Linked DNA regions of Cricetulus griseus. The protein of the gene in region 1 binds, or shares a complex with, the protein of each later gene. Links are inferred from orthologs where the notes say so. Each region holds a gene or a part of one and is shown on either strand. Other genes may lie near its edges.

Region 1 (16,419 bases):
AATGTTATGCCTTATATACAAGATTTAAAAACCTAGTTTTGTTAATTCCACTTCCTTCTTGGGAATGCATTTACTACCCTGACTTTCTTGACTGCAAGTACTAGTCTCTGGCACACCTTTGTTTTATTGAGTTGGAGACTGCACTTTACCCTTCTTGCAGATAGTTAGTGACAGAATCTCCTGATGCTGTACTTACACGCCCGAGTTTGTTTCCCTCAGGTATGTTGAATCTAAAAAAGACAGAGTCACAGTAGTCTTCAGCACGGTGTTTAAGGATGACGACGATGTGGTCATCGGAAAGGTCTTCATGCAGGTATGGAGCACAAATCTTCAAGGGAAATGGTGTTGCAGGAAGTTAAATCTTTACACTCTGCATACCTAGCCAACATATGGGGTAGGGTTGTATAGATCAGTGGTTGAGCATTTGCCTAATATGTACATGGTTTGTGGTTCAATCCCCAGTACCTGGGAACATGGTAACAGAATAACATACATGTAGGCCATATCATAGGAAAGACAAAGTTCTGTTAATGTTGGAACTTGGAAGTTGTGATGAACAACCCTGTCTTAGTTTGTTTCTTTGTTGCTATGATAAAACACTGTGGCCAAAGGGTTTATTTTACCTTAGACTTCAAGGTCACAGTTCATCACTGAAGGAGTCCAGGAGCCCAAGAGCCTGAAAGCAGGAACTAAAGCAGAGACCATGGAGGGGTGCTGCTTACTGGCTTGTTCCCCATGGCTTGCCTGTCCTGCTTCCTTATACAGCCCAGGACCACCTGCCCAAGGGTGGCACAACATACAGTGAGCTGGCTCCTCACATTAATCATTAATCAGGAAAATGCCCCACAGACATGCCCACATGACAGTCTAATGGAGGCAGTTCCTCAGTTGAGGTTCCCTCTTCTCAGAAATGTCTAGGTCTGTGTTGAGTTGACAAAAGCTAACCAGCATGGCCCCCCACCAACTTATATGAATATACTATTTCTTCTTGATGGTTCTAGCCTTTTGCAGGACAAGGCAAGAGGGAGAGTTAATTTTGACTGAATATTAACTATCCTTCCTTCCTGTGACAGAGTCCTTGATCTAAAGTGTGGTCTCATTTCCTTATCTCATGTTTACTCAGTTTTTGTATCAAGGACTGTTCTTGGCTTGCATTAGGTCCCATGTCTTCAGAATGATGAATAATGAATTCCAAAGTAGGAGATAACATTCAGTAGGTGGAATTGTGGCTGACAGGAGAGCCCTGCCATAGTTTGAATGAGTCACCGTAGATTGCCTCCTGCTGGGAAGAGTAATGGGATTTAGAAGAACATTTTGTCATTGGGATTCTGGTGCAGTGGGACTCAGCATATTGTAGACCCCTTGTGACTGTGTCATTTTGCCTGCTGGCCAGTCACTGGCTCTCAGACATGAGAGCTTATTGATCAGGAGATACTCAGGCTGCTGCCTTCTGAAGTGGATAAGCATTCACACTGCAATATAAAGCTTTAATACATTTTCCTGTTCTCTGGCAGAATGATGGATTTTATTTTGTTTTGTTTTTAATTCTGAAGCAGACAGGCTTATTGCCCAGCGTCTAATCCAACCACTTAGAAGCCTGAGGCAAGAGGATTGCTGCAAGATGGCCTAGGCCTCAATTTTTTTTTCTTTCAGAGAAAAAAAAAAATTTTAAAGTACAATCTCTACCACCACCCCCCCCCTTCCAAAAGAGGCTTAAAAGAAGCTGTGGTTACCACAGTGAGGCTTTATGTATGGACCTTCTACCTAGCAAGGGAAAATGTCAAAATGCCATCCTCATTAATGCCTTTTTTTGGGACTGACTGATCAATAACTCTTGTTTGGGAGTCCCTTTGTGAAAAGTGGAATATTGACACTTTGGCATTTGATAGTACTGGACTTCATGAAGAAAAAGAGGGTATGCATATATGACTCTTAAAGGTAAGCCCCTAGACAGACATTCCATAATACTGTTTGCATAATTAATGGGAATTAAATGCAATAGTTAAGAAGTGGACTAAATCTAGGCTAGGCTAATTTAAGATGCTACCTTTATCATACACAGTTTATCCCCAGGATAAATTGTACTTTGTTGGAAGAAAGAAATAGTGCCATGGTAAAATCACAAGCTCGATGGCCTGATTTGAGTTCCATCCCAAGGTCCTACATGGTGGCAGGAAATAACTAACTTCCTAAAGTTGTCCTCTAATCCACATATATGTGCAGTAGACCAGATGCTCACACTCACAGAGTGAATGAAATGTAATAAATGTTTTTAAAAAAAGTAATAGTGTACTTGGTGTTCAGCCGACATCCTAACAATCAGGTTGGTTTTTATGTGACGGCTAGGCTAATAATGAAGACTGGGGCTGTTTGGTGGGGCTGATTGCTGTTGTTATTTCAAGAGAGAGCAAGGGAGAAGCAAAGACATCAAGTTGTCTAAAGGCAATTTCCCACTGCAGAAATAGTGTTGATTAAATCTCTTGAGGAATGGGGAGAAGGAGGAAGAGAACTCATCTTATGTAGCCAAGGATGACTTTGAATTCTTCGTTTTTTGTTTGTTTTTTGTTGGTTTTGTTGTTCATGGATGTTTTTTGAGACAGGGTCTTACTATGTAGCCCTGGCTATCCTGGAACTCTATATGTAGACCAGGCTGGTCTCAAACTCAGAGAATCTGCCCTCCTCTGCCTAGATGCTGGGATTAAAGGCCTACACCACCACGCCAGGCTGATCTTAAATTCTTGATCTCATTACAGTGGTTCTGCATGAGCAGGGCCAAGGGTGTTTTCTTTTACTCAGCAGGACTATTCTGTCTTTGAAGGACAGAGGAGAAAAGGGAATAAAAGCAGGAGCTTTGACCTAAGGAACTCAGCCTGGCAGGGAAGACAGACACCCTAATGGATAATGAAGAAATGCTTGCAAAGAAGGGATAGTAGCTACCAGAGCAGCCACTTGCCCCAGGTGTTAGATGCTAACTCTAGAAGAGGTGTGAGCAGCAACAGCAGCCACCCTTCTGATCATATGGCTGTGTGACCACCGTCCTTAGCTTCATGCAGCTGCCCTTTTTCAGAAAACCCACTCAGTCTACCCATTGGATTTGAGTCTTTTTTTATTTATTTTTTTTTAAGGGGGGCGGGTTTCTAGGGAGTAAATTCAAGGCCTTGCATCTGTTGCTGTCATTGCTGGGACTCCAGGAGAAGGATGTCATATTTACTCATTTCTTTGTATAGGAATGCATGGGTGCCTGGGGATTAAGCATAGGAGGAATAGTCTGGTTTTGTTGTTGTTTTGCTTTGTTTTTTTCTCCTCTAGACCTTTTTTATAGTTTGATAAGCACTGTGTTTTTGCTAAGGATCATGAGCGCTTTTATTTTGGGCGAGGGGGTGTTTGGTTTGGTTTTGTGAGACAGACTCTCCTGTAGACTGGGGCTAGCCTTGAACTGCTCAGGATGACCTGAACTCTTGATTTTTTTTTTTTTTTTTACCCCCACCTTCCAAAATCTAAGATTATGAGCATGTGCCACTATTCCTGGCTTACTAGAATTTGTTAGGGTTTGTTTTTACAGGGGGAGGGGTTAGGAGAAGGTCTTTCTACATAACCCATGCTAGCCTAACTTGATTTTTCTGCCCTACCCTCCTAAGATAACTCAGTTTCTTTCATTCTATCATCTTTAGCCACCAGGGAGGGGTTAAATTTGCTTTAGAGTTTTGATTGATGAATTCTAAATAGTAATAGATGAAGAGTATGTTAAACAGTGTCATCAAAGGCCCAACACCCAGTAAAAGCATGGCATTCATGAAACTGGAAATAGAAGATGAGGTGTGGGTGTACTGACGTTGTAGAGGCCCGATGATCGGGAGTTAAAAGTCCTCATTAGCTGGAGAAATGGCTCGGCCGTTAAAGGCTACACTCACAACCAAAAGTTCTTCTCATCTATTTAGTAAGTTTAAAACCAGCCTAGCCACATGAAGCCCTGTCTCAGGGTGGGGGTGTGGGGGCAAGGGGACATGGGTAGAAGGAAAGCAAGAAACTGCAAAGAAGTGGGACCAAGGGAGCAGTGGGAAATTGTTCACATAATTTATTTAAAACTCTAGCTAAAGGCTGGTACTAGTCACCATGAAACTCTAACGATTTCCTTAAAAAAGAACTCCTTTTCACAGTATACACAAGGGAGTAGTAAGCAGCAGTGCTTATCTTAAGTTTTGTTTTCTGAGGCAGTCTTCCCACTCTGCCTTGACTGACATCCTTTTGCCATGTTAGTCCAAAATAAGAGAAAGGGGAAAGGGCTTGTCCTGCAGTGCTTTGTGTCACAGTCTGAGGATGGAGATTGTTCAGTGCTCTATCATCTCCCTTTTGAATCTAGAGTGCAGTGGAAGCAGCTGGCACTCTGTAGCTTAGGTGGGTTTTGGGGGTTTGGTTTGGTTTTTCGAGACAGAGTTTTTCTGTTTAGCCCTGACTGTCATGGAACTCACTTTGTAGACCAGTGTGGCCTCAAACTTAAGAGATCTGCCTACTGCCTACTGAGTACTGGGATCAAAAGTGAGCACCACCACCACCAGGCATGTAGTTGAATTTGACTGTTCATTTTTAGTTACTTTCTGGTCCAAAGGACTACGAAGGTCAGAGCACATAGTATGGGTAAGGTGCCACTCGAATCATGAATTTTTCTCTTGCTGTATCTCCACAGGAATTCAAAGAAGGACGAAGAGCCAGCCACACAGCCCCCCAGGTCCTTTTTAGTCACAGGGAACCTCCTCTAGAGCTGAAAGACACAGATGCTGCCGTGGGTGACAACATTGGCTACATCACCTTTGGTGAGGCTGGAGAGGTAGTTCAGTGATAGAGTGCTTGCCTAGACACACATGGCCCTGAGTTCAGTCCTCAGCACTACACGGAGCATCCCAGGCCCTTCCATCAGCAAGTGGAGTTGCCTCTTTCACATGACAGAATGCTTAAATCTGGACAGCCTTCGCCAACTTTTTTAGAGGGCAGAAGTAGGCATACCAACATGTTTGTGTTGCCTTTTCAAAGCTGTGATAGGAATGTCACAGGGAACTGATTACAAAGCAAGCTGGGTGCTATTTAGCTGCAATAATCATTTTCTGTTGCTTTTGGTTTTTCTTAAATGGTAAGAAAGGTAAGCTCTGGTTCCAGGATGGCCATGTCAGCATTGCTTGGCCGCTGAATAGAGTTCTCTGTCATGTTACAATGCTTGCTTCCAATGCCTGCTCTCAGCCATGATTTGCTGAGTCTTCTCTTCCACTGAAGATACCAAGCTTCACTTGTGTCAGCTTTATGAGCTGCCTGATGATGGCAGCTGACGGCTCATTTCCATGCTGCAAAGCTACAAGAACATCTCCTGCAATTCTCCTTTAAGCTAAAGGTGTAGGTGTTTGTTGCTGGTGAATACATTTTCCTTCCACATGATTCTTGAAGTTGAGGTGTATCTTACAGTTGATGGCATGTCAATTTCATTGAGAGCATTTCTTTATGTGCATAAATCATGGTAAACTTGGAATAGAACACATTTCATGGCCTGATGTTCTTCATCCCCCCTGTCGCCCTTTAAGCCAGGATAAACTGAGAACCATTTTAGCCATTTCAGCACAGGGCTCTTGGTGTTAGTGAAACAAGTATGGTAAGAACTGGAGACCAAAGGCAGGTCTGCTGCAGTACAACAGTCTGAGCCTCTGGGTTGAAAGTAGCCACCCTGTTGAGCCTACCTTATGTTTGGTTTTCATGCACAGGAGATAAGTATTCTTTGGAACCTAGTTTTACATGACAGCCTATGCTTTAGCACCAAGGACCCAAAACTAGCAGCTTTGTCCTAAACAAAGCTGGAATCTAGAGTTCAGTATAGAATCAAGATTTGGAATGAGTGCCCAGAGTCAGACCTGTGTTTTGTGCCTGGAGCTTCACTGTGGCACTCCCATGATTGTGTTGTCTATGATGGTAGTGCACACACCACTGCTAATGCTTTGTTTGTTTCTCCTGCCTTAGTGCTCTTCCCTCGCCATACCAATGCCACTGCTCGAGACAACACCATCAACCTGATCCACACGTTCCGGGACTATCTGCACTACCACATTAAGTGCTCTAAGGTGAGGGGCACCAGCATCTCTACCAGCCTGTTGATTAACTCTCAGTAGACACTTGGCACATGGGGCTGGGAAGAAGGGGGGGGAGAGGAGAGAGCTCAGCCATTAAGAGTACTTACTGTGCTGGAGGTGGTGGCACAAACCTTTAATCCTAGTCCTTGGGAGGCAGAGTCAGGTGGATCTCTGTGAGTTCAAGGCCAGTCTGGTCTACAGAGCTAGGTCCAGGACAGGCTCAAAAGCTACAGAGAGAAACTCTATCTAAAAAAAAAAAAAAAATGTTCTAGAAGCCTGAAGAAATCATTTCTTGGTATCTCTTGGTGTGGCCGGTCGTAGAACACTTGCCTAGCATGTTCCTCATACCAGTTTGGCCCCACAGTAGGAGAGAGAAATGACCCTCTCCCCTTCCCCTCTTCCTGCCTGTAGTAGAGGGGTGAGTCTGTATCTCCGGTATTGCTGCCTGACGGTCCCACCCTCCCTTACATGCTCCTTAACATACTCCATGGCTCCATCCCAATGAAAGCAAAGCTATTTCTCTAGAACATGGGCCTGTTTCAGTTCCTCCTGTGTTTGCTCTTAGGCCTATATTCATACACGAATGCGAGCAAAAACATCTGACTTCCTTAAGGTGCTCAACCGTGCACGCCCAGATGCCGAGAAAAAAGAAATGAAAACAATCACGTAAGTAGGAGGACTCCACCCCCACCCCCTTCCCACCTCAGTTCAGAAGAAGGAGCTGCTGGTCCTGATTTGATGCCTGCACACAGGCTACTAAAGAGGCCAACAGGGCCAAGCCTAAAGCTACCAGAGTGAAAGTGTAATGAAAAGGGCTTCCCTTCTGAGGGCATCAGGAAGAGTTTCTCCATTCCACAGTCTTTATGAGCTACAAGAATGACAGGGAAAGAAAAGGAAACCCCTCCTCCCCCTTTCCCTTAAACTAAGAATCTATTCTTTGTGGGCTTGAATTTAAAGAGGTCCCTTCTGTGTTCCTGGAGAGGTGGAGTCAGTCAATCACTTGAGGACATAGTTATCTGAAGAGGCCTGGAGGCAATACCTCTGTTCTTTCTGCTGCTCTGCTCTCGGCAGGAAAGGTGTACAGGGCACAGGCTGCCTGGGTCAGGAACAAAGATGACAAGCAGAGCAGTAAGCAATGTGACTCTGCTCAAGGGGCCAGCGTGGTGGGAGACCTAGAGCGTTCACTCTAGTGTGGGTGGCAGGCGTTCAGAGCACCTTCAGCTCCTGGCATGTGCTGCTGTATCAACTCCATTGACATTGAGCGTTCCACTGAGTCCTGAGAAGTAGGCAAGGACTTTTCAGTCACAGGAACATCAAGCATCTGTGTGCTTGGTGGGAAGTCTGACTGTCAATGCTGCCACCTACAGCCTAAAGGTTGGTATTCCATCTGACCTCTGTAGAGAGATTGAATTGGATGTCATGTCATGCTGTGGCAGCTGCATAGCATATCTAAAAAGTGCAAAGCTGTAGACGAGGTAGGAGAGTATGGTTATGTCCAGGGAGGCACTTGTTTTTTTTCTGTCCTTTTAAGACCCTGTATCCTAGTGCCTGCAGTTTCTCCTTTCCCACCTTGTCTTTACAAAAGTGCCCCTTGTGTGACCTGGGATAGAAAGAGAAACTTGCTCTGGATGTCAGAACCACCAGCCTGTGGCATGAATCTGTGGTCCTAGCTACTGAGGCTGTTGGGGACTGAAGCAAAAAGATAGGTTGAGCCCAGGAGTTTGAGGCCGACCTGGGTAACGTTAGCAAAATCTTACCTCCAAAAACAAGCAGGTGGGCTGGGAGATGGCTTAGTTGGTGAAGCACCCACTGTGCTAACTTAAGAACTTGAGCTGGGATCCCCATCACCCATGTTAACTAGGCATGGTGATACATTCCTGTAACCTTAGTACAGAGGGCTCAGAGACAGGTGAATTGTAGGAGCTCTCTAGCCAGCCAGTCTCAGCAGTCACTGAGTTCCAGGTTCAGTGAGAAACCTGTTTCAAAAAATAAGATGAAGAGTCAGGCACGGTGGCACACATCTTTAATCCCAGGATTCACTTGGAAGGCAGAGGTATGATCTCAGTGATCTCAAGGCCAGCCCGGTTTAAATAGCAAGGTCCAGGCCATCCAGAGCTATGGAGTGGGACCTTGTCTCCATAAAAAAAAAGAAAGAAAACCAATTGACCCATTGAGGGAAAACACCCAGTGCTGACTTCTGGCCTTTACACAGACACACATACAAAGTAAGCAGAGAAAAATAAAACCAGACAGAAAGGTCAAAAAGTGGGATATTAAAATAGTCCTGGAACTGTTTGCATCACCTGTCTTCACCCTGGTAACAGTCCCTTCATCAGTCTGTTCTGTGGCCAGCACGTGTTCCTGGTGGTTACTGCCAAATTGGACAAAGACAGGAATTGATCAGTGCCCTGATGGGGGACCTGAGGAAAGATGAGTCCTTCACAGGAGTAAATTTAGTTGTTCAAAAGACTCTATCCTGCTAAATGTGGACAGATTAAAATAATTTGGGCCTGCTATTGCTATAGGTATGGTCCTGAACTAGAGCTGCCTGTAGAGTCAGCATTCTGCAGTACTCTGCTTGTCTCAGGATAAGCAGGAAACATGGAGAGCGGTTTTTACTCTTCTATAGTCCTCAGTTCTCATTCTGGGCTACTTTACCAAATACCCTTGGGTAGGAACCACTTGCAGGTTCTTTGGGGGTCTAGTAACCCCTATGGGGATTTACTGTGCAGAAGAGGACACCACAGCTCAAAAACCCAGAACCAGCCAAGTGTTCTATGAGCCAGAGTCTACTTACAACATGACAGCAGAAATGTCTTTAGCTTTTCAAAGATAAAGTGTGTACCACACCTGGCTAATGTTTTTAAGATGCCTTTGAATTTCCTACCTCCTCTTGAAAGGTTAAGGGATTGTTATCTAAATGGGATCAGCTGGGTAGAAGGAGCCTCGGTGAGCAGAAATTCAGGTTTATCTAAGCTGTCTGAAAACTAGAGAAAGTGGGCATGGTGGCACATGCTTTTACCTGGCACTCAGGAGGCAGAGGCAGGTCTAGTGTACATAGCTAGTTCCAGGCCATCTGAGGAACACACTGAGACATCATCTTTTAAAAAAAATTGCAGACAATTTTCCCATCTGCTGGGAACATCCAGTGTCCTGAAGGGCTGGGCATAGTGCTACTTAGTATTGAGTCAGAAGAAAGGTAGCAAAGCTATTCTTTTACAGCTGGATTTGACTGACACCTGTGGCTCCAGCACCTTTGCTTGAAGACTCTCCCTTCCCTCGTTGTCTAGTGTCCCTTGGGCATTCCACCCCAGGTCAAATGTAGGATAGAAGGAGAGGCTATCTGGGACAAGCCTTCACACTGTCTCTGTTTTCAAAGGGGGAAGACATTTTCATCCCGCTAACGCTTGGGAACTGAGGAGGAAGCGCTGTTGATGGAAGGCTGGACCGCTTGCTACTGGATAATCGTAGCCCTTCATGTTGCACCTCTCCAGGTTCTTAAGGGATTCTCCGTTTGGGTTCCATTTTGTACGAGTTTGGCAAATAACCTGCAGAAACGAGCTGTGCTTGCAAGGACTTCATAGTTCCCAAGAATTTAAAAAAAGAAAAAAAATTCCACTCGATCAACTTAATTCCCTTCTTTTATTTTTCCCCCTCCCTCACTTCCCTTCCTTTTCACCCTTTTCCAAGCTGTTTGCTTTGCAATATGTTACTGGTAATGAGTTGCAGATAATGCAGTCTTAACTTGTTTTCTTCTAAGTATTTGAGTTCAAAACTCCTGTATCTAAAGAAATACGGTTGGGGTCATTAATAAAGAAAATCTTTCTATCTTACTAGAGCATTTGCTGGGTTTTTTGGACTGTGAGTCCAAAAGAGAAAAGGGTGGACCTGCACTGCCCTTGAACCAGCAACCAGCAAGCCCTCAGAGTTTGGAGCCTCTCTTCTCTATGGGAAGGAAGGGCTGGTTTGTAAATTGTAAGTGGGGTGGTGGGAGCTCGTTTGTTTGTGTTTCATTTTATTGGTTTCACTTTATAGCCATGTTGGCTTCAAACTCTCCAGCAATCTTCATGCTGAGCCTTCTGAGTTCTGGAATTTTAGGAATAAGCCACCTTTGTTTTGTTGTTTGTTTGAACATGCTTCTCACATTGTAAAGCGTGGTTGTTGACACTACCCAGCTGAGTAGCCAGGAAGCTCCCTTAGAGTGACAGGCAAATTAAAAGGTTTTCTGGGGCTAGGAATGTACTTCAGTTGATAGAATGCTTGCCTAACCTTTCACGAACCCCTTGGTTCAATCACCAGCCCCACATAAACTAGGCTTGGATATTTTTATGTGCATAAATGTTTTGCATGTACACACACATATGTGTATGCACCAGGTAAGGAAATGGGTATTGTATCCTTTGGAGTTACAGGTGGGTTTGAACTGCTCTCTGGGTCCAACCTCTACAGAAGCAACAAGTGCCAACCACTAAGCCACCCCTCCATCTGCTATGGCATACACCTTTTAATCTTAGCACTTGGAGGATGAAGGCAGGAGGACCAGAAGTTAAAGGTCATTCTCAGGTATACAAGCATTAAGACCAATCTGGGCCATGTGGGACATCCTCTCAGAAAAAGAAAGGGATGGATGGATGGAAGGAGGGAAGGAAGGAAGGCTTTCTGTCTAGGCTGTGTGTGTATGAGAGATTTGGGATTTATGTGGGGGTTGGTTGGTTTTGAAATAGGATCTCACTGTGTAGTCCAGCTGCCCTCACTGAGAGATCCACTGCCTCTGCTTCTGAGTGAGCGCTGGAATTCAAACTGCTTGTTCTTCAATCGTAATTAATGGGCATTTCCTGTAATGGGGTTCTCAGGTCCTTGATGGGTATTCCAGTGTGGAACTAATGTATACTGGCTGTGAGGCCACACTCCCTCACCTTCCAGCGGATTGGAAGTACTATACAAAGCTCACAGGAGGTGCCTGCGGAATAGATAGATACCTGGGAACCTAGCAAAGTGTGCTGTCCCCTAGCAAGATATTGGTGCCAAAAATAAAATTTGTTTTGTAAGGTCTTGTCCTGAGAATTTGAGGGTATTCAGAATGATTTGAAGGCTGTTTTTTGTTTTGTTTTTTTTTTTCTTTTTTTGTCTCCATTTCAGGCATTGTGTTTCAAACTAGTTTGACAGTCATAGTGAATTGTGTTGCCACCTGACTGTATGTGACAGCACTTTTATTTTCTACAAATTTGTTTTTCAGATAATGATACATTTGTTTGCATGCATGTTAGAGATAATAAAGCAAGGTCCTGTCACCTTCTCAGTGGTGACAACTTGAGTGATTGTAGCCCAGTATCACACCAGTAAAATGACATATTTTATGTGTCCACTTTCTTCACATTTAATCAATTTTATTTAACACTTGTTTGTGCCTTTGTCGTGTGTTTCTGTGTATTTTTCTCACTAGGATTTTTTCTGAACACCAGCATTTGTTTTTAAAAGCAGAGTACTGCAATCAGAGCAGTCACTGTATCACACATAGTATCAATTGGGGATTTTTTTTTCATAAGTGTGCACCAGACCAGGGTTAGAGAACTATTTATTCCATCCATTGTCAAATTTAAAATACTGCAAGTTGTTCCAATATTAGACTAACCTAATTGAAATGGGGTTCCAGGGACCCGTAGGTTCTCCTGGTCTCCTTCTGGGAGGTTAGAAAAGGGGGAGGGGGGGAGTGTATCTTGAGAGGTATTTTATTTAAGAGAATTTCAGAGGTAGTTTTGGTAGGGTTTTTGTCCTTTCTGTTTTTGAGACAGGATCCAGTTATCTAACCCAGGCTGGCCTCTGCCTCCAAAGTGCTGGGAATACAGGTATGCACCACCATGACCAACTACTTTAATTTTCATTCCATTTTTTTTGTTTTGTTTTGGTTTGGTTTAGTTTTTGACAAAGCATCACTCTGCCCAGGCTGGTCTCAAACTTCTAGCAGTCTTCCTGCATGTGCCTTCAAGTTCTGGGATGACAGTTTTGCGCTACCCAACTCCGGCTAACATTTGCCTTTTTGCTGATTTTAGAACAAGAACTCTGGATCTCTCTATGCATTCTTGGCAGTAGTGACAGCTTGCTTTTTTTCTTAATTATTTTTTATTAGTTCAAATTAGAAACAAGCCTACTTCACATGTCAATTCCTGCTCCCTCCCTCCTCCCCCACACCCCCCACCAACATGCCACCCCATCCCCCCTCTGCTCCCCAGGGAGGGTAATGCCCTCCATGGGAGATTTCCAGAGTCTGTCATATCTTCCTGGGCAGGGCCTAGGCCCTCCCCCATGTGTCCACGCTGAGAGAGCATCCCTCCACATGGGACGGACTTCAAAGTCCTTTCTTACACCAGAGATAAATACTGATCTACTACCAGAGGCCCCATAGAGTTCCAAGGCCTCCTCACTGACATCAGTCAGGGGTCTGGATCAGTCCCATTCTGGCCTCCCAGACATCAGTCTGGGGTCCATGTGCTCTCCTTTGTTCAGGTCAGCTGTTTCTGTGGGTTTCACCAGCCCAGTCTTTTTTGGTTTTTTGAGACTGGGTTTCTCTGTGGCTTTGGAGCCTATCCTGGAACTAGCTCTTGAACTAGCTCTTGTAGACCAGGCTGGTCTCGAACTCACAGAGATCTGCCTGCCTCTGCCTCCCGAGTGCTGGGACTAAAGGCGTGTGCCACCACCACCCGGCACACCAGCCCAGTCTTGACTTCTTTGCTCTTCACTCCTCCCTCTCTGCAACTGGGTTCCAGAGTTCAGTTCAGTGTTTAGCTGTGGATGTCTGCCTCTGCTTCCATCAGCCACTGGATGAGGGCTCTAGGATGGCATATACGGTAGTCATCAATCTCATCATAGGAGAAGGGCATTTAGGGTAGCCTCTCCACTATTGTTTAGATTGCCAGTTGGTGTCATCCTTGGAAATCTCCCTAGTGCCAGATCTCTCCTCGAACCTGTAATGGCTCCCTCTATTATGGTATCTCTCACCCTGCTCTCCTATATTCTTCCCCCAGCTCAACCTTCCTGTTCCCCCATTTCCTCCTCTCCTCTCCCCTCCTGTTCTTCTCTCTTTCTCCCAGGTCCCTCTCCCCTACCCCCATGCTCCCAATGAAGATTATTTTCACACACACACATACCCCACTACTCCTTGGTATACCTTCCTTTCCCCCTAAACCCTATTTTTTCCTACTTAGTCTCCTAGTGGCTAGACTATTAAAACAGTACCCTCTCCCAGCAACTACTAGCAGTCATTATCAGTTCCTTAAGGAAGGATGAGGGTCCACGGGAAGTTGGAGAGAGGTCTTATGCAGGTATCCAAAGCCGCTGAGTCTGTGGTTCTAATAGCAGTGTCAGACCTGGGTGGCAGTGTTTCATGATACTCTTTCCCCATCTTCTTTTTTTTGTTTGTTTTGTTTGTTTGTTTGTTTTGAAGACAGGGTTTCTCTGTATTGCTATGGAGCCTGTCCTGGAACTCGCTCTCAGGGTGGCTTTGAACTCACAGAGATCTGCCTCCCGAGTGCTGGGATTAAAGGCATGTGACACCAACGTCTGGCTCCAGGTCTTGAATTCTTTTTGCCTTCACTTCTGTCTTAGGGTTTCTTTGCTTTGAAGAGACACCATGATCACAGCAAGTCTTTAAAGGAAAACATTTAATTGGGGCTGGCTTACAGTTCAGAGTTTTAATCCATTATTGTCATGGCAGAAAGCTTGGTGCTGGAGAGGTAGCTGAGAGTTCTCTATCTGGATCCCCAGGCATCAGGAAGAGAGAGTGAGCCACTGGGCTTGGCCTGGTCTTCTACAACCTCAAAGCTGAACCCCATGACACACTTCCCCCAGTTAGGCCACACTTACTCCAGCCAGGCCACTTGTCCCAATACTTTCAAATAATACCACTCTCTGTGAGCCTGTGGGGGCCATTTTCATTCATACTACCTCATCTTTTATTATGTCTCCCAGGCCTTAGCCACAGAAAGGAGGCAGGGATTAGTGTACATGTCCAATTTAAGGCTGGGCATCCATCAGTCTCTTGACACAAGCCTCTCCATTAACCACCATCCTCTACAAAAATGAACTGCTTTGACCCCAGCTGAGCGCTTAACAGCCTGTGGGTAAAAATATTTAGAAAACAGTTCATTGGGAGAAAACAACTATGGTTGGTTCCCTGTATTACGCCATCAGGTTTATGTTGCCAGGTTAGTGCAGTCTAGCCAATCAAAGTAGCTGGTTACCCCCACAATGATCATGCACTGTTATACTGCTGGCCCATGTCTTGCCTTGTGGATTAGTACTGTGGCGCATATGGTCTTTAGCTGGGTAAGATCATTCTGGCTTAGTTCCTCCTCGATTTCTCTGTGTCCTTTAAACAAAGTGTATTAGTAGTGTCTTCAATATAGGGTCTAGACTTGAAAGAGAACTTAAAGATTAAAAGCCGTGTAGTAGTGACTCACACCTTTAATTGGAGCACTAAGGAGGCAGAGGCAGATGGATCTCTCTTGAGTTTGAGGCTAACCTAGTCTATAGAGCAAGTTTCAGGACAACCAAAAGTACACAGAAAAACCCTATTAAAAAAACAAAAAACAACAGCCAGGTGGTGCACACCTGCAGTCCCAGCACTCGAAAGCAGAAGCAGGAGGATCTCCGAGTCTGAGGCCAACCTGGTTTATAGAGCTAGTTCCAGGACAGCCAGGGTTGTTACACAGAGAAACCCTGTCTTGGAAAAAATAACAAACAAACCAAACGCATATGCTAGAGGACAGGATTTGAGTTCCTAGCACCCACACTAGACAGGCAGCTCACAACTACTTGTAACTCCAGCTGTAGAGGTATCCAACCCTTCCACCCTCAGCAGGGACCCCCACTTACGTGGATGTGTCCACACACAGACACACACAATGTTTAAAAATAATAAACCCCAGTCCTCGGGAAATAGAGTCAAGTGGATTTCTGTGATTTCAAAACTAGCCTGTTCTATGCAGTGAATTCCAGGCAGGCCAAGGCTACATGGTGTGCCCTTGTCTCAACAAAAGCCCAATACCGTATAGTGCTGGCAGACAGCCACTAATAACCGATATTCTTTTGGGGATCTCTGAGACATTAGATTTCTAAAGAAATACACTATAGGAGCCAGGTGTGGCACACACCTTTAACCCCAGCACATGGAAGGCAGAGGCAGGTAGATCTCTACAAAGTGAGTTCCAGGACATCCAGGATGATTACAAAGAGAAACCCTGTTACAAAAAAATAAATAAAAGAAGAAATTGGAGGAGAAAAGTATAATGGCGTTAAATTTTTTATAATAGTAAATTCTGTCTAATTCCACAATACTTTGCCAACATCAAAAGTCCATGCTGGCTGGATGAGGCAGAGACATTTTCTTAGTGATTTAGCCACAGGTAAAGTGTTTATGCTCCTGTAAACAACTCAAATGAAATTCATTGACTCCTTAAAAGAAAAGGGAAAGTAGGACAGTTGGGAAGAGGACAGGAGTCAGCTGGCATATTGGGACAAGAGGGTACCAAGTAAGTATGGTGGTCATGCATTGCATGCATGTAAGAAAATGTGATGGAACATCGTGATAATACATACTAAATGGGAATGAAAATGCACTTTGAGTTGGGCATAGTGATTCATACTTGTAATCCTAGTACTCCTAGTTTCAAAATGATGGGAAGAACACCTAAATACATGTTATACAGCATAGGCATCTCTGATGCAAATATACAGATACATAGGAGGGGTTCCTCCCCCACCCTGTGCTAGGGATGAACCCCAGAGCCTCATGGGTGCTAGGCAACCACCAGCCACCACTGAGCTACACTCCAGATCTATAACATAGCCCTCTTATTTGTTCTCTTAGGTATGTGTACATGAGTACAAGTCCCCATGGAGGCTAGAAGCATTGCATCTCTCTGTATCTGGAGTTACAGGAGGTTGAGTTGCCCAACATGAATGCTGGGAACCAAACTTGAGTCCTCTGCAAGAGCAGTGTATGCTCTACACAGCGCCTCCCCCCATACATTCAGAAAGGGCCAAAAGGTGTTAGAATGTTGGATAGTGGTATTTAAGTCAAGCTTTTCTATGTCTTGGGCTTTCCAGACCTTCCCTAAGATGGTTGTATACTCTCCCCTTCCTTTATTAGAGAGGGCAGGAATCTCTATATCTTAATGGAACGTGTTTAGCAGGAAAGGAAATGAGATTACAGTAAGAAATAGAGGAGGTGTATTAGACACAGAAGGAGCAAGCCTAACCTAGCTACTACATCTACAAAGTGTACTCTGTAGATGCCCAAACGTGGCAGTTGACA
Region 2 (16,245 bases), on another chromosome or scaffold:
AAGATTATTTCTAGGGGCTGGAGAGATGGCTCAGGGCTTCAGAGCACTAACTTCCAGAGGACTCAGGTTCAATTCCCAGCACCTACATGGCAGCTCACAACTGTCTGTAACTCCAGCTCCATATGATCTGACACCTTCACACCAATGCATGTCAAATAAATTTTAAAAAAAAATCTATTTCTAAAGCATTTTAGCTGCAATGCACCATTATGTAACATTCTATATATACCCAATCCCTTTTATTGTATATTAGATTGCCTAGTTTGTCCTGCTAAAATGAATAATCTTAGATAAATCTTAACTATTTCTGTCACTAAAATTCCCGGAAGATAAATGCTAGATCAAAAATAGCATTGTTTTTAAGGCTTTAATATACAAAGTACTGTGAAATCCCTAAGAGCTCTGTGGTTTCCTTCCCTGCGTCAGTCCTCTACCGATTCTTATAGAACTGCTTTGTTGTTTATTGTTTAAAATGCAGGCTCACCAAAGCCCTGTGGTCTGCAGGTCTACATCTCAGGACCTCAAGAACTCTAATTGTAGTATAGGTAAATGCATAGTGATTAGTGATTATCAAGGCAACAAAACTTTGTATGGGGGGAAGCTTTCTTTGCTTTTTAAAAATTGTTAGAACATCATTAAAATTCCCCCTTTACCCCTAATGTTTTTTCTTTTTTCTTTTTTTTTCTTTTTTTCAATGACAGCTTTGGGGGGGCGGCGTTTATAGCTTTAGATACAAAGGTATTTTTCTAAATAGAGAAATTGCAGTCTTTAAACTGAAGATGACATTGATAGTAGAAATGTTTTGTAAAATCCTGCCAGTAGCAATGATGAGGAGACCACTGTGTGCTGAACAGAAGGAAAAATGAATTGTAGAACGAGTTGATTAAGTGTTCTCTCTGCTTAGACGATGTGTAAAGAGATTCCTTTGCTTCTGGAACAGGCTTTACCAGAGGGAAAGTTTAGAGATGAGCATAGATAGAACTAATGTCCTTAGCTAGGAAACTTAAAAAAGTTTTGTATGGTTTTAAACAGGAGCTTTTAAGAAAATACCACTTTTGAAAGATAGTACCGAATAGAATTGTATAAATCGGTTTCCTTCTTTTGTTGGGCGTTTTTTAAGTTTTTAAATGATATACTAAATTGTTAAATTTTCCCATCAGTCTATTAGTAAATCCCCACTTCTACCTTCTGTACTATCAAGACTGTGTTCTAGCCCTTTAATCCTAGCACTCAGGAGGCATAGGCAGGCAGATCTCTGTGAGTTCAAGGCCAGCCTGGTCTACATAGTGAGTTCCAGGCTACACAGTGAGACCCTGTCTCAAAAACAAGTGAGCAGAATGGGTTCCCTTCTTTCCAGCTCTCCTGTCATGGCAGCCAGAACCACCGTGTGTTCTTGGAATTGCCCCTAATGGGCACCCTGCTTCTATCTTACTCCTGCTGTCATTGCTGTTCTCAGCAGAGATGCCAAAATAGTCTTAAAATGAGAATCAGATTGTGTCTCTGCTCTTAAAACTCTGTTGTTTTAGAGAGAAAGCCAGAGCCATTGCAGTGTGGCCTGCAGGCTTCCTCCCGTGCTCTGTCTTCATGTCCTGTTCTCTCACTTCCTTGCTGCTTCTCCCACCACTCAGCTCTGTCGTATCAGGTCTTTCGATCATTCTGAACACTCTTAAATCCATGCTAACAGCACTTGTTCTTATCTAAACACTGGCCATATTCCCAAAGAGTTTTCTTTCACATCCTCCAAATCACCCTTCAAATTTCACTCCAGTGTGGCCTTTCTAAAATTGTGTTCCTAGCATACATGTGTCTGAATGTTTTGTTATGTATTTACCCTCAGGACCGGGCAGGCAGCATTGTCTTGAAAGTGCTCATCTCTTTTAAAGCTAATGATATTGAAAAGGCTGTTCAGTCTCTGGATAAGAATGGTGTGGACCTCCTAATGAAGTATATTTATAAAGGCTTTGAGAGCCCCTCTGACAATAGCAGTGCAATGTTACTACAGTGGCATGAAAAGGTAAGTTACAAACTACAGGTCCTTATAGCTGGTTCCTTTGTAGTAGAGAATAAGACCTCTTATCACCTGGAAAACAACAAGACCTGATTCTATATCTTTATTAGTGCAAATAAAATGCATGAGAATGAAAAGTTCATATTTGCTTACCAGCCTTGGTCTTAAGTGATTCTGATTTGCATTGCATATTTATTTGCATATGTTTAGTACATAACTGATTATGTACTTGAGGTATGAATCCCAAGAAAAATTTCAAAAGAAAATCATGGAAATCAAGACTTCTTTTACACCAATTAAAAAAAACAACCTAAAATGAAAGGCTTAATGTATGGTACATACAAACGGTAGAAAGTTATTCATCCATGAAAAGGGATGGAGTTTTTATACTTGCTACAATATTGATGAACCTAGAAGATGTTGTACTAAATGAAACCAGACACAAAAGAATACTTGGTATTTCTCCTTATGTGAAATAATATGAAATAGGCAAGCTCAAAGGAGTGGAAAGTTACTAGACGTTGCCAACGACCATGGAGAAAGGTTAGAGAGCTTGCCTGACATTCCCAAGGTTTGATTCCCAACACTGTATTTTTGCTGTTTGGTTTTCAGGAATTGTTATTGGCCATGCATGGTAGTGCATGCCTATAATCCTGCACTCTGGAGAGAGACATTCCAGACCAAACTGGTCTATATAGTGAACATGCTATATTGAGAGTCTGTGTCTCGGAGAGGAAAGAAATTAGTGTTAGTTCTATGTAACAAGTCAATAGATAGATGAACCAGCTGACTCAGTGGGTAAAATTTCCTGCCACCAAGCCTGTCAACCTGAGTTCACTCCCTGGGACCCACGTGGTGGATAGAAGGAACGGCTACCTCCACACATACATTGTACGTACACGTATACACACACACACACATGCACACAAAGCAAGTGTAATTTTAGGTAATCTTTCATTCCTAGCTCTTATAATGATAAAAATATAAACAATGGCATTAAAAATCCAACAGATAAAGGGCTACATATTCTCTAACATTCTCAGAACTCCAGGGGATCCTCTCCTTCCACCTTGTTCGGGCAGGGTTCCTCTTTGTTTCTTCTACTGTGCTGTATGCTTCAAATGTAGCTGGCCTAGGAACTTCTGGCCACATCTCCCCATAGAGATGCTGGAATTCCAGATGCTAACTACAACTTTTTGTGGAGATCCAGCTCAGCATGCCAGGCTTGCATAGATGCACTTTGAACGTTGTGAGCCATCTCTTCAAGCCCCCCAAAGTCACTTTTTAAAACCATTCTCAAGTCTGAGTAAAAACACACATATAAGATAAAACTAAAGGCTTCAGTTGAGTCCCTTTACCTTACATACACTACAGAAGAGCTAATATTTATGAATGGCATTCCTCACAGTGTTCCAGTGTAGTGTCCGTCCTAATTACAGAGCACCCTTTCACTGAAGGGAACTCGTGCAGTAATTTGTATGATCATTTCACTTGGGACTCTTTGTTTGATCGATTCTGCACTTGTTTATATTTCATTTCTTTCTCAGTAGCTCTGAGGTATGCACATGTCTTTCTGTCTTCAGTTTGCAGCTGAAGAACCTACCTCTAAAGCCCAACCGACAGCAGTCCAGGATAGCCTCAGGGTCACAGTGACATTGATTGGGAATTTGTTACAGTCCAAACATTCTTCTGAGACATTTATAAATGTATTAACTCATGTAATCCTCAAAAAAAATGCTAGAAGGAAAAGCTCTTGTAGGTGAGAATGTGGTCCATGTGTTAAGTCTGTTTCTTCCCAGTCTCCTCTCGAGAGTTGACTTTCTCACAGGTCCAGGACCATCGATGGTACAGGTCTCTAATGCACCCTTCCCAGCATCTCAAGATAGCTGCTATAGCATCCTAACTGTCTTGCCACCAGTCTCACCTTGCACTAGTCTGTTCTCTACCCAGCCACTGGTACATTATCTGTAAAATCCAAAGGTATCCTCATCAGTCATTGATGCCTGTACCAGTTTCTCTTAGGCTTCAGCTTTTCCCTGAATACACCCTACCCCCCACCTCCACACTGTTTTCAGGTATCAATCTGTCAAGTTTCCCTAACATCTTTTGCTGTCAGGTTAGGTATATGCCCTTTCTCTGTTTTTGTAGCACCCTAAGATAACTCACACTACTTCATACATGATACCGAAATGTTGTTTGTATAACTGTCTCATAGTAGACCAAAGGATGTTTATTTACTTTCATATCCTCACAATACACAATGGTACTCAAAATATTTTTTCAATAAAAGTAAGCCAGAATTTCCAATTTGCTGATATTTAATCATGACTCAATTATGCAAGTTCATAAGTTCAAAGTTAGAGATCATCAGCTCTTAAGTAATACCTTCTTACCTTAGGAGGAAAATCTGCAAACTAAGAGGAAGTTGGGGTGACTTGTCCCAACTTAAGGTTCTTTCCTGACCATGATATGGGTGGGAGATGGAGAATGTCCTGAATTTATATTTGAACACCTGTTTTAGTCAGGAACATTGTGCTGCAGACATCTTTAAACATTATTTAGACACAGTGTGCTAGAATAGAGACCAGTGTATATTTGGAAGTAAGTTCACAGGGGGCAGGAACCCTTGGTCTTTGTTTTCTGTTATGCCCTAGTCCTAATAATAAGACCACTATTTGTCTCATGTTGAGCACTGCCTGGGACATAGTAGAAGCTTAGAATGATTTCAGTATTCTGCCTAATCTGAGACTTGACCCTTTATTACCCTGTCTGTGTGTTTGGTTTGTTTTAGGCACTTGCTGCTGGAGGGGTAGGGTCCATTGTTCGTGTGTTGACTGCAAGAAAAACTGTGTAGTCCAGCTGGAACTGGACATCACTCACAGAAGTGGGAGTTGCTGGTACAAAGACCAAAACAACCAAATGGCACCGCTGCCCTGTGGGTAGCATCTGTTTCTCTCAGCTTTGCCTTGCTTCCTTTTTCATACTTATAAAGAAGAAAATTACATATCAGTTTCCTTAATGAAAATTTCGATAATGTGGAGAAAATTTTGTTTCAAGGGGGGTGTTTGATCCTTTCATAACCATGTCAATAATATGTATACCATTCTGTAATTTATATTCAAGTTTGATTGTGCAATTTTTACTCTTTTGCTGGTTTAAGGGTTTTACTTTATTTTTAACCAATACTGAGAGATCTGATCAAATTTGAGGCCAGTTTCCTAACTCATTGCTAGTCAGGAAGTGATCTTTATTTTTAAAAATGAGAGACTGGCAGCTATTAACATTGCAAAACTGGACCACTCTTCCCTTATTTGAGCAAAATGTGTTTCCAGAGCAAGTAGTGGGTGAGCCCCACTACCGATTTCCAGCTTTATTTCTGCTTGCTTCCAGATAATGGTGTGAATGTAAGTGTGCTACTTCCTGTTAGCATCCAGTTATCATGGCCTCAATCTCTTTGTGGTGACCCAGGGTCCAGAGCAAGGAGTCTTGCTCTATATAAATGTATTTGCAAAATACAAGCGCCTCTTTGGCACAAACATCACATTTTCCTTCTGATAATAAGGCTGTCTGGGGAAAATACCCCAAGTCAGAGAAAGGACATTGAAACTGATGTAATTCAAACTCTAGCAGCCTCTAAATGAAATACTGCTTTCTTCCGAAATAAGGTAGCTGCCTTAGACATTTACGCAAGTATTCACTGTAATATTTCATATGCCCAATGACGTCTTCAGTGTTCTTCGGGTAATGGGGATCTCAGAAAATTTGGTTCTGATCCAAACAAATACATATTCTGTGTTTCAGCTCAGTGTTTTTTTAAGAAAGAAAATGTCACACAGTGAAAAAAAATAAAATGTGTTTACTTTGTTGGACAAACCAAATTGGTTCTCAAAAAAATGACCGGTGCTTGTAAAAAGTTATTATTATGAAGTAGTTCCAAAACAATCACGTGAATGAATGCACATGGCCAAGAGGGAATCAGCCTGGTTAGTCTGTGCATAAGATGCCAGTTCCAGAGTCACTGACTGAGGTGAGAACCAGTGCAGAAATTCTGTAAACTGCTGTTTTTGATACCTGCTTTTTGTTTTGTTCTGTTTTGTAAAATTATGATAAACTTCAGAAAATAAAATGTCAGTGTTGAATAATTTCTTTTTCTTGGTTGAATACTTGTAAATCTCCAGTTAGTTAAGGAGCAGGGTGTTTGGTGCTGCTGCCGTCTTAGGGGAGGATGTACAAAGTCACTTGATAGAAACAGGTGCAGAGGAGAGCCACTAATGATGTCAGAGCACTGCTGAGGCTGCTGTGTGACTGAGGTGCCAGCAGAACATGTCAGAGACCAAATGGACCAAATTCTTGGAGCTGCAAAAGTCACTCCAGCTTCTAAGCTCTCCCTTGTAGACCTCAGACCTACTTCTCACACCTGTCTTCTCAGCAGCTCTGCTCTCGGCCTCACCTGGCTAAATTCCTGCTTGACTCAAGCTAAGCAATGCGCATTGGAAGCCACCAAGCAGGCATAGCACAACCACTTAGGAGCATGCTCACACTGTTTCTGTGACCTAACTCCTGGTGTGTGTGTTGGGGGGGGGGGGGGGTTCTAATGCTGTAATCCGTGTTTTATATTCACTGGAATGGATATGGGAAAATCTGTCAGCCTGTCAGCTCTACCAAGTAGAAATAGTAAAAATGGGCAACAATACAGCATAGGATTGAATGAGGGGGTGCCAACTGAGGACAGTGGGCTCTACAAGTGTTTCTGTCTAGGTGACAGTAACTAGCGCACCACCCCTGGTGGATAGTAAAGTAGATAAATGCTGGCCAGTACTTTGCACACAAGTGGCTCTCAGTTGCCTGTGTGACAGCCAGTGTATGTGGAGGTCAGAGGACTGACAATTCTTCTTCACTCACTTTTCCACTTTATTTTTTGAGTCACTGAACTTGGAGCTTACCAGTGGCTTGACTGACTGGCCAACAAACCCCTGGGGATCTTCCTGTCGCCACCTCCAAAGTGCTGAGATTACAGACACCGCAGTGTCTGACTTTGTGCCAGCCCCTGAATAGGTATGCTGGTCACAGCAGCCCTTTACCCTCAACCATCTTCCCGCTCCACAGAAGCAGCTCTCTGCCTGTTGCTCATCTTTAATCACAGTGGTTAGGAGTGATTTGGTGCGACCCTGCTTTGTTTTTGAGAAATGGATCTTGATTTTTAGTTCAGACTGGCCTCAGACTCAGCAATCCTGCCTCAGCCTCCACCCGGGATGACAGGTGTGCCCATACCAGGCTTGCTGTCACCTTTTTTTCTTTTTCCAAAAGGGAACAGAGGCAGGGAGAAGTCTCAACAGTCGAGGCTGAGGCAAGCAGATCATGAGCCTGTCTGAGCTAGCTGGCAAGAGCCTGTCTTAGAAAACCAAGGGCTGGCCATGTAGCGTAGTGATGGAAGTTGGCATGTTCTGCATCTTAATCCCCACACACCAAAAGGGAGACGCAGCAAATACAAACACAATTTCTAGGTAGCAGCACCGTTTAGGAAATGGTGGTGGGTGAGCATGCTGAATACCTCAGGAAATGCATTGATGCACAGGTGAAAACTGCAAGTAATGCAGATTAATCACATCCAGATGTTTCAGACGAAGGCAGTTTGGGCGTTGTTGCTTTCTCCTGCATTGAGAAGTAAGTCTTGGGTACTTGAAAACTGATGTCCTGCCACTTAGCATGTGACTATGAATGCAGTTGTTGTTGGGTGAACAACAAAAACCAAGTGGGGGCTGGAGAGATGGCTCAGAGCTTAAGAGCACTGGCTGCTCTTCCAGAGGTCCTGAGTTCAATTCCCAGCAACCACGTGGTGGTTTACAACCATCTATAATGAGATCTGGTGCCCTCTTCTGGTGGGCAGGAATACATGCAGGCAAAAGGCTGTATACATAATCAATAAGTAAATAAATAATAATAAAAAAACAAGTGGACCAAAGGCCAATGAGTCAAATCAATCCAAACTAAGTTTTGCAAGGATGGGAAGGACAGGGGGTCCAGGTGACATGAACAGAAGAATGAAAATGTTTAAGAGAGTTAGTTCACTCTTGTAGTTTTAACATTTCAATAAAATAAAATTCTAGACCATGAAAGTCACTAAACAGATTGCACTTGCATAAGGAGTGTCTCGGGAAATTTGAAACAGGAAGGAATGACAGGAGGTGTTTTTTGGTGTGGTTTTAGCCAAATAGATATATGGTCATTTAGTCTTTTGCATTTTATAACAGTCAAAAAGAATGGAAAAATTAAATTTTATAAGAAAGGCATCTGAAGCCGGGCGTTGGTGCTGCACGCCTTTAATCCCAGCACTGGGGAGGCAGAGGCAGGTGGATCTCTGTGAGTTCGAGGCCAGCCTGGTCTCCAGAGCGAGTACCAGGATAAGCTCCAAAGCTACACAGAGAAACCCTGTCTCGAACCACCCCCCCCAAAAAAAAGCATCTTAAATTATCAATGAAGAGCTGTTCATTAAAAATTATTCTTGCATTGGTGGCACACACCTTTAATCAGGAGGCAGAGGCAGGCGGATCTCTGAGTTTAAGGGCAGCCTGGTCTACAGAGCAAGTTCTAGGATAGGCTCCAAAGCAATACAGAGAAACCCTGTCTCAAAAAAACAAAAAAATAAAAAATAAAATAAATTATTCTTGCTGTGATGGATAGGAAGCTCTGTGGCTGGGGCTTATTCCACAGTCCTGAGGCCTAGAATTGGGATTAAAGTGCTCAGGACCAAGCCAGAAGCCCTACAGAACACCTATAACTCCAGTTTAGGGAGTCAGTGGTCTGCATTCACAGGTATGTATACCCACACACGTGCACATGTAAACACGGATAAATAAAATTAGGGGGAGGTGGTTTTTACTCTTTTTATTCTTGATATTTCTGAATGGTCAATTCTGTCTCCTACTGTTGTGTTTGTGTGTTGTTACTGAGACATACGTGGTCCAGCAAACATCTATTGTTTCAAAGTTAACACTGGTTTTATATTAATATAATGCCAACTGTAAAATAAAGGAGGGCATTGAAGACATTCCTGGTTTGTGGTAGTGTGGCTTTAAATTTTCAAAGCCAGAATCTCAGTTACAGGAGGATTTAAAAGAAAAGCCTGGCCCATCCTGAGAAGCTGAAGACCTGAAGACGTGCCTCCAGACCTGAAGCTCAGAAAATATATCAATCTCTAACATGGGGCCACCTTACTACACCTGCAGCTGCAGTTGTCAAGCTGAGTAGTCTGTGTGGGGAAGAAAGCTGTTTCTAGGAGAGATGAAGACTGGGGTTTTCTCTAGAATCCCCAAATTGGTGCTTGGATACTTGTGAGATCATGCCAGGAGCCTTTTACAGACAAGATGGAGAAGCCAGAAGAAAGGTTTGGAAATGTCTTACAATGAGAGACCCGCTTAACACCAAGAGCTCAGTAGTTTTCTCTCAGTATGATTTTAATACCCCTAGGAAAAGAGCTGTGTAGATTTTTTTTTTTTTTAAGTAGCAAAAGAAAACCACATGGAGTGTAAATTCAGACACTTTTCCCTGGTGGAGTTACATTTACAGGCATCTGCCACTAACCCTCTTGATATTGCCTTTGTTCTGTTTGCATAGATGATGGATTTTAACTAATAAACTGCTATTTCAGTTTTGTTATGTTTTCATTTATCAAGAACCAGGGCAGCAATCTCATGTCATTAGCCAAACCCAAGATATTATTGGTCATAACCAGAATTTGGTTTATTTACACTTCTTACAGGCAAAATATTAAAAAAAAAAAAAAACACCAAAAGGATCAAGAATGGAGACATACTATGTTAAACCAATGCCTTTTAACATTTAGAAAGGTGTTCACTTCCTCAGCCTCTCTTCCCTTCTCCCTCCTCACCTCAGCCCTGCATCTCTGGGAGGAAGTAGGAAACCTCCAGGGCCATCAAGGGCCAGTGTGTGTGGCCTCAGGGCAGATGTGTTCAGCCAGTGTGCTCTGCCTGCGGGTGGTGCTGCTTCACACTGCTGACCCATTTACGGGCTTCCTTTCCTACTTTAGTATAATGAACACAAATGCTCTCTCTATGGACCTCGTACTTCTCGGGAACAGTTCCATAAGTTCTCATAGCATGAAGCAGACTGAGTAGTTCATGGCACACCTGATCCAGTCCATCCTTTTAAAAAGCTCCTGACCTTCCTGCTCTGTTTAGTTCCTGCCCTGTAGGTTACTGAACTTTGAACTTTCTACCGACCCCTGGGACTCCTCTGAAGTCACAGACGCTGTATCACCTTTCCTGGGTAGATTTCATTTTTTCTTCTAATGGTGCCAACACAGTGCCATAAACAGACAAAGATGCTAAACAATATGCTTCATTTAGTTTTATCCCAAAAGCCCAATCAAGATTCCAGATATAACTCTAATGAGTTTCTTTACCTGATGCCTGAGCTAAAGGTCAGTGTCTTTTTTAACAAATAGTTGTATAATCTCCCTTTTTACTCATTTGTTTTCTAATAGTTTTTTTTCCAGTAGAGGTAATTTTCCCACCTTCCCTAGCAGTCCTCTTGACGGAGAATATAATTCTTTAACAAGAGTGTAAGCACTCACAAGTAAATACCTATAAAGTCTTCCTTGTGCCTATATAGATAACTAGCATTTTATACATATCTAAGCTTGTTTTCATTAAATGTGTGATTAATTTTAAAGTTTGTATTTTTCTTGCCAGCAATTTCTTTTTCAAATTCAAAGATCCTAATATAATTAGTTTGCCTCCATATAGAAGCCCCATGTAAAAAACAGAAATGTGGGTTGGAGAGATGGTTCAGAGGTTAAGAGCATTGGCTGCTCTTCCAGAGGTCCTGAGTTCAATTCCCAGCAACCACATGGTGGCTCACAACCATCCGCTATGAGATCTGGTGCCCTCTTCTGGTGTGCAGATATACATACAAGCAGAATGTTGTATACATAATAAATAAATAAAATTTAAAAAAAATTTAAAAAAATCCAGAAATGTGACACATGTCTGTAATCCCAGCACTTGAGAGGTAGAGGCAGAAGCATCAGAAGTTCAAGGCCATTCTCTACACAGAAAGTGCAGAGACAGCTTAACCCTTATAAAACCTTTGTCTATTACTAAAAAAAAGTAAATGCAAGACATGAAATCCCACAGTCCACACAAGGAGTAGAGGACAGAGCTCACAAACAGAACACTCGCCTCCCATGAGGGAAGCTCCAGGTTCAGTCCTCAGTGGGTGACTAGTGAGAGAAGTCCTGGATAATGCCTTATAGATTTGGTTATTGCTTCTCTGTTTTTATTTTTTTCAGATTGGACCTGGAGCCTCACACATGCTCCATCACTGATCTACCCAGCTCTTGTTTGTATTTTGACACAGGGACTCACCAACTTGATTTAGAAATCCTATTGCCTCAGCCTTATGAATAGGGAGGATTGCAGCCTATGTCACCAAGCCCAGCAGTTTGGTTGCTTCTCTGAAGGCTTGAAGGGTTTTTGTTGTCTGTTTGTTGTTTGCTTCTCTCTCTCTCTCTCTCTCTCTCTCTCTCTCTCTCTCTCTCTCTCCCTCCCTCTCTCTCTCTCTCTCTCTGTCTCTTGTTGCTGTTTGCTTTTCTAAGGAACACAGCTAACCACAGCACCAGCTGCCACGTATTTTACAAAAAGAAAGCAGTTTCTCTAATGCTAATATACACCTGCCAGGGATTATAGAGAACTTAAGATATGCTCTTTGCCTTGCAGAGTCTAAAAAACACACACATAAGCAGCACCAAAATCATGTAGGAAATGAAGCAATGATAAAAGAACATAGAGTAACAGTTGGCAAAAATTATTTCTCCAACAGTGATTGTTAAGAAAAATCTGAATATATAACCATCCCACTGGGTCTTGAAGACAGAAAGTTTGCCAAAAAGAAAAAGAACAGAAAAAGAATACAAGGCAGAGGGAACATTGTGGTATCAGAAGTCATATAATTAGCCAGAATCCTGTTCATTAATTAACTGGCACTATGATGCAACTAAGTGTTTGGAGACAAGTTCCAAGTTTTCTTAGTTCTCCATTCAAAAGCAAGAGAGTCCCTTAACTTGGATATATTTTAAACCCATTGTTGACTCTAACCAGATGGAAAGCATCTGCCCTTGGGATGCCGCCATTTAGGAATGGCACATTACAGCTGTTGTTGGGACAGGAAATATATAGGCAAAGTTTCTTCCTGAGAGTGACTCAGGAGAGCTCAGGAGTACTCAGAGGGACTCTGCAGAAGGTGAGCATGGCAAACAGAGATGGCTTTGTGGGTCTCAGGGACAGATTGCAACACACATGCTACTTTTTTTTTTTTTTTTTACGATTTACTTCTATATTGTGTACAGTATTCTGCCTAATTTATACTATGCCTGCATGCCAGAAAAGGGCACCAGATCTCATTATAGATGATTGTAAACCACCATGTGGTTGCTGAGACTTGAAACCAGGACCTCTGGAAGAGCAGCCAGTGCTCTTCACCTCTGAGACATCTCACACACACGAGATTTAGAGGCCTAAAACAACATGTTTGTTTAGCTCCCAGGAGTCAGACATTAGCTGAGTCCTCTGGCCAACGGATGCTTGAGGCCACAACACAGAATGGATGTGGGAGCTACCTTTTCTCAAGCCCCAGGAACAGCAGTGTCCATAGGCTGCAGCACTGAGGACTTGTAATCCGTACCTTTTGACTGTGGCCCACAGGCTGTCCTCTGGGCCACACAGACCTCTCAACAGTGTAGCTCCCAATATGGCATAGAAAGTGTGGTCTCCTGTCAGCTAATCTTGGAAGTGGCATCCCTGCCCTTCTGCTGTGATCTCTCTCTTCGAAGCAAAGCACGTGTCCAGCCCATAGTCAAAAGGAAGGAAACATACAGTGTGAGTACTAGGAGCCAGGGGTTCCAGGGATCATTAACTGCCTGTCATCTCCATGCAACACCCTGTGTGTGGCAAGGAAGATGCCTCTACTTCTTAGAGACCTCCGTTTTCCATCCCATTCCATTTTACTGTTTCTCTACACTTTAGAACCAACGAAACCTGCTGCTAGCATAGCCTTGAGGTTTCTGGGGGTACAACTCAGTGACTATAAAATTTTTCTAGTTTTGAAACTACTGTATCATTATCCAATTCAAATAAAAATGTTAACGCTCTAATGAAAGGCCTGGCCTTCTGTCCGTGCCCAGATAACCAATGTTAACAGTATGGTAAAGGCATCTATCTCTCCCACTCCCACTGACTGTGTCTTTTTTTTTTTTTAATATTAGTGGCATATGTCAGTGTCTTAGGGTTTTTATTGATGGCAAGAGACACCATGACCATGGCAACTCTTTTTTTTGTTTGTTTGTTTTTTTTGGTTTTTTTTTTTTTTTTTTTTTTTTTTGGTTTTTCAAGACAGAGTTTCTCTGTAGCTTTGAAGCCTGTCTTGAAATTTACTCTGTAGACCAGGCTGATCTTGAACTCACAGAGATATGCCTGTCTCTGCCTCATTCATGCTGGAATTAAAGGTGTGCACCACCACCACCCAGCCCTTGACAACTCTTATAAAGAAAGCATTTAATTGGGGTGGTTACTTACAGCTTCAGAGGTTCAGTCCATTGTCATCACGGTGAGGAACATGGCAACATGCAGGCAGACGTGGACCTAGCTACATCTTGGCTTGCAGTCAACAGGAAGTTGACTGAGATACTGGGCAGTACCCTGAGCATAGGAAACCTCAAAGCCCGCCCCCACAGTGACACACTTCCTCCAATAAGTTCATAACCACTCCAACAAAGCCACACCTCCTAATAATGCCACTCCTCATGAGATTATGAAGACTAATTACATTCAAACTACCACAATTGGCTATACAATGTAGTACATTTTACTCTGACACTTTCATACGCATTTGTACCAAATTCTGTGTTTTTAGCTTCAAGGATCCTTTAGCCAGAGGATCCACCTTAGCCATGCCAGGCTCCTGAGTGAAAATAAACATGCTGTCCTAAGCCTCTAAGTCTCTGTATCTGTCCCTGTCCCTGTCTGTCTGTCTGTCTGTCTGTGTCTCTGTCTCCCTCAAGCGCGAGTGTGTGTGTGTGTGTGTGTGTGTGTGTGTGTGTGTGTGTGTGTGTGTGTATGTGTGTGTGTGTTAGTAGTTAGACAATAGATAATAAAATAATATAAGGAAAACAAATTGATCTCCTGTGCACTTGTATGTGCTGAACCCTGAGGCATGGTAACTTAATCATTAAAAACTAATGCTCTTTGTATGACAGGCTTCTCATGCCCTGAGGCTGAAGTTGGAATCTAAGCCTTCAGGGAAGGTAGAGAGGCCTCAGGTAGTGATGCTTTGCCTGGAGGAGCTTTTCTCCCCTCGCTCTTTTTGATACCTATGCTAGAGTCCTATTATTGTTTTTACAGAAGGTTATCTGAAGCCAGACTGGGTGACACATGTCTTTAATCCAGCACGCAGGAGGCTGAGGCATGGGGATCTCTGTGAGTTTGAGGCCAGCATGGTCAATATATCAAGTTCTAGGAGAGCCAGGGTTACATAAAATCAAACAAAAGGTTATCCAAAAACTCTTTAGGTTTTCACTTTAGTGCAGTAGCCTGGCCATCTCTGCTGATCAGCATCTGTCCATCTTTCCGTTTCTCTGCCATGTCCTACACCTCATTTGTCAGTGACCGTTTAGATTCCTTTCCAGTCTCACCTTTATGAGCATTACATCAGGGATGGACCTCTGCTGTGCTATGTGTGTCTTAGTATATGTAAATTATATTTCCAAAGTGAGGGCGGAGGGAGAAAGTGATGGTGGCAGGAAGATGGGAATATAGAGAAAAAGAAGGAGGGAAGGACAACAGGACGTAGGACCCTCACAGTTTATCCACCTTTCTTTGGGGCATTGAAGGAACAGAGACCTGCAGAGCTTCTGCCCTGATTCCAGCCTGTACCAAGTGAGCAACTGGTGTTGTCCCAGAGCTCAGCATGGCACACCCAATGCTAATAGCCAGGGGTACATTTGGTGGGGTATTAGAAAACAGGAAAACATCCAGATAACAATAAAATACAAGTGTTAAGCAGGGCATGATGTCACATGCTGGTAATCCCAGCATTTGAGAGGAGAGCCAGAAGTTCAAAGTCATTCTTAGCTGCTTAGCAAGTTCAAGGCAATCATGGGTTACATAAGATGCTGCTTTAATAAATGGATAAATATCCCAGCACTTAGAAGGCAGAGGCAGGAGGATCTCTGTGAGTTGGAGGCCAGTATGTTCTACATAGCAAGTTACAGGACAGCCAAGTATACACAGAGAGATCCTGTCTCAAAATAAATAAATAAATGAAATAAAACAATGAAAAGATTGACAACATGCGTGTGTGCCACGGGATCTCTCTCTCTCTCTCTCTCTCTCTCTCTCTCTCTCTCTCTCACACACACACACACACACACACACACACACACACACAGACTCATATGCACCTGAGTGGTATACGTGTGTGGAGAATGCTCACATGGGTATGCAAGTGCACACACTCCTGCCCATGTGCAAGAGGAAGACATTGGCTGCCTACTCTATCACTCAGCATCTTATCCCTTTGATGCTCCTGTCTCTGTCCTCACTCCCAAAACTGCGGCTAAAGAAGCATTCAACCACATTTGGCTTTTAATGTAGATTCTGGAGATTTGGAATAAGGTTCTCATTCTTACACAGCAAGCACCCTTCTCCACTGAGCCATCTCCCCAGCCCCAACATTACTTTTTAATGTGCATATGGAGGTCACTGAGATAATTCAGTAGGCAAAAGTACTTGCCACCAAGCCTGATGACCTGAGTTCCATCCCCAGGACCCACCTGTGTGATGGAAGGAGACAATCAAGTCCCATTAGTTGTATTCTGAGCTACACACACACACACACACACACACACACACACAAATAAATAAATGTGAATATGCTGTTTCTTCACAATCCTGTGGAGAAGTGGGAAGCTGTCATTAGTCCTAGAGAACTATCATGGCGGAACTAGAGGACAAAGACTCTAAATGTGAACTTTAAGTCCCAAAGCCTTGTATTAGTTACTTTTCTGTTGCTGTGGGGAAAAAAATGACATAACCAAAAGCAAAGGAAGTAATATTTTGGCTTATGTCTCTAAAGGGCTAACTATTCGTAATAGCAGAGAATGCATGGCTGTTAGGACATACACCTGGCTGACCCCGTGTGAGGACTCTGCGCATGCGTGAAAC

What was found.
Region 2: Arpc2 (region 1) and Arpc5 share a complex: the UniProt entries of both Homo sapiens proteins name them as parts of the arp2/3 complex. The link is inferred for Cricetulus griseus from reciprocal best matches to the Homo sapiens genes ARPC2 and ARPC5.

The regions. Positions count from the first base shown.
Region 1 is NC_048595.1:427,496,540-427,512,958, forward strand, and holds the end of Arpc2 (actin-related protein 2/3 complex subunit 2), read left to right. Parts: intron 1-219; coding exon 220-313; intron 314-4,684; coding exon 4,685-4,811; intron 4,812-5,997; coding exon 5,998-6,098; intron 6,099-6,672; coding exon 6,673-6,773; intron 6,774-9,486; coding exon 9,487-9,511; 3' UTR 9,512-9,940; downstream 9,941-16,419. UniProt on the Homo sapiens protein: Actin-binding component of the Arp2/3 complex, a multiprotein complex that mediates actin polymerization upon stimulation by nucleation-promoting factor (NPF).
Region 2 is NC_048598.1:38,854,124-38,870,368, reverse strand, and holds the end of Arpc5 (actin-related protein 2/3 complex subunit 5), read left to right. Parts: intron 1-1,837; coding exon 1,838-2,014; intron 2,015-4,799; coding exon 4,800-4,862; 3' UTR 4,863-6,152; downstream 6,153-16,245. UniProt on the Homo sapiens protein: Component of the Arp2/3 complex, a multiprotein complex that mediates actin polymerization upon stimulation by nucleation-promoting factor (NPF).